Linked DNA regions of Saccharomyces cerevisiae S288C. The gene in region 1 interacts genetically with each later gene. Each region holds a gene or a part of one and is shown on either strand. Other genes may lie near its edges.

Region 1 (2,419 bases):
CTCAAACATATAAAAAATTTCGTCAAATCTTTGAATAATACCGTTTTCAATGACTTGTAGTTGATTACTTAACCGTTCCCTGTAGATAGCTTCGCTTATAGAGGTTTTAGATCGTAGAGTCACGTTTTCTTGTACCAGCTGGCTTATTTTTTTTTCCAAGCTATTAACTTTAATTTTTAATATGGAGTTATCCTTGGCCAGCAGGGAGTTTTGCCTCGAATACGACTGTCTGATGTTTTCCACTTTTTGCGATTCGAGATCCATTAGGTTTTGAAATTCTTGTATTTGTGGGGTTAAATCATCGTGGGAGACCGTACGCCTGCTGCTTTCCTTGTTAGGAGCAATTTTTCTCTTCGGCATGGTCAAACAATAACCCCTCTATACCCAATTAAACATATATATGCGTGTGTAAGTAATATAACCCTGCGCCTAGCAGTAGTTGTAATGTGGAAATGGCATTATCAATATTAGTAGACGCTCACTTTGTGAAATTTCTTTGTTTACAAAACAAAAGGGCCTTGAAAAAAATAAAAAAAATCTGTTACCCGACCAATAGGAAATAAATAATCAAAAATAAAAGGGGCGAGCTGGGAATTGAACCCAGGGCCTCTCGCATGCTTTGTCTTCCTGTTAGTCAGGAAGTCGCCCAAAGCGAGAATCATACCACTAGACCACACGCCCTTGTTAACTTGTTGTTAAGACTACTTAGTCTTGAGTATCACACTGCATTCAGTAACATATATTCTTTTAATCTTCTGGCTGAGAACTCCAAGAATAATCGCTAAAAATACTCAAGGGTAAGTACCCCAAACAAAGTTCTGTCCTTCTTAGATATTTTAAATGAGGGAAACTAAATCATTAGTTTATTATTTAGATGCATTTTTCCCAGCTTTAACCTTTTTATTTAAAGGAAATTATAAAAAAAATTTTAAAAAAATGAGTTTTGCGTATCCAATAAATAATAGACAAGATGCTGTCACAACAGTATTAAAATTTCTGAAAGATTCTGCTGTCTCTGGACTGTGTAATACAACAATTCTTCGGAAAACTTGATTCGGAATAAACAATGGTCTTTCATTTATGGAAAATTTTCTTCTTTGTCTCGGTCACTAAAAAAAGCCTTAGCAAAGCTATATAGAAAGAAAATAGTGATATGGTGTATTTGCCGTAAAACTATGGTTTATCCAAGGTCGCCTTCAGTAAACTTTCGGAAATATATTCATCGGAGATATATTATATAATGAGTACATAGCAATCTAATCATGCTGGGTCTTCTTGCACCCCAATGAAACCATAATCATGTAAATGCTTGAAAATTCCGGGCATACTATCCTCTTCCTCAATAACCCAATCGAAGTAGAGTGCTAGTTGTGCACTATGTCCTTGCTGCTCATTAAATAAATTTACTGACAGTTTGGTGGAATTTCTTTGTTCGATCAGATAGTACTGTTAGGTATTTGTTGACATTTACTTCCCTATCACATCAGACCACTGTTTCTCCTTCCTTTTTGCCATCTTCTTACCTATTATATGATAATATAGTTCAAAAGGAAATACCAGTCAATGAATGATAATTGGCTCTTACTCCAACCGTTCTTAATCTGGACCAGTAATTGTTCTTATGGTGAAAAAGTATGGTGACGTCTTTACTTTTAAAAATATTTTTAACAGTTGAAGGAGCTCCCCGTGTACATCTTGCCAGATCTTCAAGAGAAATGTCACCAAATAAATTATGAAATTAAAGTACAGCGGTAGTGATAAAAACGATCATCAAGTAGTGCCATCCGATATTTCGTGTCAATTTCCAAGCTCATGATTTATGACATACAGGATTTTCAAGAATATTAAATCTTGTTCCTGAGGAATTTTTGATAAATCCAATAAATAGTAAATAATAAGAAAAAAGACAGAACAACAACGTTTTGGTGGGAGAAAGGCCACTTCTCTGACCAGACTAGAGTACTAATATTTACGACAAATATACTGAGACCGTGACCAATGGTAGAAGGTGATTGGCTTGAAAGAAATGCCAACATTAAAGCACATATCACTGCTCTTGATATCAGTAGAGTTGCAAAAAAATTATACTACTAAAATCAGCTCAACGGCAAGAAGTTACTAAGCACAGCAGAAATTCTGGAGCTAAAGAGAATAATATACATACAAGACTGACTGAAAACTCTGTTTTCCACATGCAGTGGACTCAAAATATTCAGTTGAAGAAGCAAGCACAAAATTGGATCAACCCGTCGCGTCGCGGCCGCTGCTGCAGGCGACAAATCCACTGGCAAATTGTACGCGGCCTCGTTACTCCTACTTGAAAACAGAAGTAACAACAACAAATTCAAGTTTCTACGAAATGGGTCTCATGACGACAAGGTGCGCCCCCCTATCTACCTTGTTGTAAGTCTGGGACCTG
Region 2 (4,073 bases), on another chromosome or scaffold:
CCTATGCTCTCGCATAGCCCGGACAGATCGACTTATGCCGATGACTTTTCTCAATCTTACCAGCAAGAATTGCTAACTTTTCCGCTATCGTACCCGATTGTCGATGAGTCAGAATGCACGCACACTAAAGATAAGACGGACAGCAACATAATAACGAGTACTGAAGACGATTGCATGTTCGATATGGAATTTAACGGCAACGCCGCCAGTGCAGTTGCTGCTGCTAGTAAGGAATCTAACTCTGCCTCTGGGTTTGCCTTTGCAAGTAACGATGCCTTTGCCAATGTCGCACAACAGAACTACAGACTGTGGTTGTCATCGGTATGACGCATTTTACCACATCTCTACTTGTTCTCACGACCCCTTGCATCGCATATCCTACACATTTTAAATCGGCATTCCTTCCAAGCATATTCTTAATTCCTAATTTTACATAGTTTTTTTTTTTTTTTAGAGAAAATAACAACAATATACATAGAACTTACTTACTCAATTCTACTATATCTTTTTTTTTTGTTACTATTAGTCATGTTTGCATGACTCCATTACATTTTCGTTTTTTTGCTAGCCAATTCTGGTCGTCGGAAAAACTTTTCATTGAATCTTTCAAAGCGTGTAGCAGTTGCATTTTTTTAAAAATGAATATGTATGCAAAATATATATATGTATATATATGCCTAATATACATAATAATAGAAAAAAAAAACCTCATACGAAATAGGCGCTTCTCGTATCTATACTCAACCCGCCCCCAATGCTGAAAATTGTTACTCGGGCTGGACACACAGCTAGAATATCGAACATCGCAGCACATCTTTTACGCACCTCTCCATCTCTGCTCACACGCACCACCACAACCACAAGATTTCTGCCCTTCTCTACGTCTTCGTTCTTAAACCATGGCCATTTGAAAAAACCGAAACCAGGCGAAGAACTGAAGATAACTTTTATTCTGAAGGATGGCTCCCAGAAGACGTACGAAGTCTGTGAGGGCGAAACCATCCTGGACATCGCTCAAGGTCACAACCTGGACATGGAGGGCGCATGCGGCGGTTCTTGTGCCTGCTCCACCTGTCACGTCATCGTTGATCCAGACTACTACGATGCCCTGCCGGAACCTGAAGATGATGAAAACGATATGCTCGATCTTGCTTACGGGCTAACAGAGACAAGCAGGCTTGGGTGCCAGATTAAGATGTCAAAAGATATCGATGGGATTAGAGTCGCTCTGCCCCAGATGACAAGAAACGTTAATAACAACGATTTTAGTTAATGTCTGCATTTTTACCCCTCATTTGTGCCCCCAATTTCTCCTGTGAATAATCTATATATATATATTTATAATTATAATTATAAGGAAACAAGTCAACTTTATAATATACTCTTAAACAATCGTTTCGCGATATCCTCTGTCATGCCTCCACTGCCAGGTCTTTATTGTTTAGTCTCAATAATCGCAATTAAGTTAATAATATTTGCAATTGCGGCAAAGAAAAAATAGGTAAACAAAGAACTGAAAAAACAAAAAAAACAAAAAAACAATGAATATAGAATATGAAATGCCCTAACAACACACACATACACACACATTCTCCTCGCAAAAGCACCATTTCCTGACCAGTGTACTTTATGGCGTCACAGCAAAACAAACACGCTTTTCTTTCAAAGAATAGAATCTTTCACAATCCCGATAATGTGTCCTCATCAAAATCTCGAAACCTTATGGATATCACAAACACGACAAACACCATGAATGGCTCTAGACCTTCGTCTATGAAGAGTTCATTGGCTCTTCCACCCGTAAAGGATTCCTTCCCATCTGTATCTCGATCTGCATCATTAAACATCAACATGAGCAAAATTAAGGACTTAAAAGACCGCCAAGACAAAATAAGGTTCCAAAGACATACTCTCAGGACTCAATTGATTGAGTGCGAAAGAGAAATCAAAACCATCAAGTTTCGAGATCTCAATAAGTCCAGGTTTGAACTTTATAAGAAAAAATCCAAACAAGCAAAGTATCTCAAACAGGTTAGAGATTTGACGCAAAATCTGAACTCCAAGGACGGTGAACGCGCTGATTTAATTAAGAAGAACAAATCCGCTTTGGCAACCTTGCAGGCTGAACTCGACCAGAATCTGATCTTGAAAAGGCAGGAATCTCAAGAATTGTACAATAATAAGCTTATCTTTTGGGAAAATGAGCTGCAAATAATGGAAAATGTCGAGCCTGACCACGAAATCACAGAGGAAATATCTCAGTTGAAGAAAACGCTGCAAGAGCTCAACATAAATTGGGCGAATTTACAGAAGCAAAACTTGGAAAGACAAGTAAACCACGAATCACAATTGAGGAAGGATTTTATTGCATTCAAAGAAGCTAAGTTAAAATCCATGGAAAATTTGACAAACAAACATCGTGAATTACTTGATCAGATAGCCACTCTACAATCGGAAAGTGAGAAGTTACACAAGGAGATCATGGATATAGATAGACAAGCTGAATATTCGGAACAAAACATCTCAGAAATAAATGAAAATATAAAACAATTGGAATTGGCAAACAACCCACTAATAAGCAAATCCTTACAAAACTCGCAAGATTTGGAACATTTACAAAACCAAATGGAAAATTTGAAAGAAATGGCCTCTAAACAGGAAAAATTTTATAATGATACCTATAACACTGTGGAAAAAGAACTCCTGCGGAGTAGGAGACTTGAAAACTCTATTATTGAACAAAAAGGCACGATGCGCTGTTACGCTTACGTGATGGAGCAAAATTTGCCTGAGAACCTTTTATTTGATTACGAAAATGGCGTAATAACCCAAGGTCTAAGCGAACATGTTTACAAATTTAATAGGGTGATACCGCATTTAAAAGTTTCTGAAGATAAATTTTTCACTCAAGAGTATAGCGTTTACCATGATATGTGCCTGAACCAAAAAAAAAATTTCAACTTAATATCTCTAAGCACCACTCCACATGGCTCATTGAGAGAGTCTCTAATAAAATTTTTGGCCGAAAAGGATACAATATATCAAAAACAATATGTGATCACCTTACAGTTTGTATTTTTATCAGATGACGAATTTTCTCAGGACATGCTCTTGGATTATTCCCACAATGATAAAGATAGCATAAAGTTGAAATTTGAAAAACACTCAATTTCTTTGGATTCCAAACTTGTCATCATAGAAAATGGACTCGAAGATTTGCCCTTAAATTTTAGTTGTGATGAACACCCAAATTTACCTCATTCTGGGATGGGTATAATCAAGGTGCAGTTTTTTCCTCGAGATTCAAAAAGCGATGGCAACAATGACCCCGTACCGGTGGACTTTTATTTTATCGAGTTAAATAATCTGAAGTCCATTGAACAGTTTGATAAAAGCATCTTTAAGAAGGAATCATGCGAGACCCCTATTGCACTTGTTCTGAAAAAACTAATTTCTGATACTAAATCCTTTTTCTTGCTAAACTTGAACGATTCAAAAAATGTCAATAAATTATTAACGATTTCAGAAGAAGTTCAAACACAACTTTGTAAAAGAAAGAAAAAGCTCACTTAAGCTCGGTCACATTATCGTCTTTCTTAACACAGCCATTTAGATATGAAACAAATAAGGTTTATAATCTTTCAATATAATTACAACATACCGCATACACACACTTTTTATACATCAATCTTCCGTTAAGATTCCTTTAATTAACCAATTTAATTCATGCCTTGTACCAACGTTTCTTTCATCCAAAGGCGTGAAAGTCGGCTTTTCATTTAAGAAGTCCGGCAAGTCGTCAATATTGCTCTTCATATCTACTAGTTCATCATCGTTAACTAGCCCTAAATTAGTTAACGCATAGTATGAACCTGAAGGTTCAACCAAATTCGGAAATATAGATAACGAATCATATATGTCTTCATTCGTTAATGATATCGTTCTGTTTTCATGTAACTCCTCATTAACTGCTTCGCCAGCCTTTGTAATGCTGCTCATTGATATGTCGCCAATATCGTCCTTGCTACTGTTATTGCCGTTATTAATACTTTTGGCTTCATCGGCACATTCAT

The links.
Region 2: mutations in YOR072W-B (region 1) and VIK1 together harm fitness more than expected from each alone (negative genetic interaction), as found in Saccharomyces cerevisiae (one large-scale study listed by BioGRID).

The regions. Positions count from the first base shown.
Region 1 is NC_001147.6:462,712-465,130, reverse strand, and holds YOR072W-B (uncharacterized protein), read right to left. Parts: upstream 663-2,419; coding exon 501-662; downstream 1-500. Other genes in the region: SGO1 (Sgo1p), read right to left, coding at 1-360.
Region 2 is NC_001148.4:70,563-74,635, reverse strand, and holds VIK1 (Vik1p), read left to right. Parts: upstream 1-1,629; coding exon 1,630-3,573; downstream 3,574-4,073. Other genes in the region: ATG41 (Atg41p), read left to right, coding at 1-327; YAH1 (adrenodoxin), read left to right, coding at 755-1,273; HFI1 (Hfi1p), read right to left, coding at 3,685-4,073. UniProt on the Saccharomyces cerevisiae protein: Together with the minus end-directed microtubule motor KAR3, plays a role in microtubule organization. Recruits KAR3 to microtubules, and together they may stabilize the polymers. The KAR3-VIK1 heterodimer cross-links anti-parallel microtubules.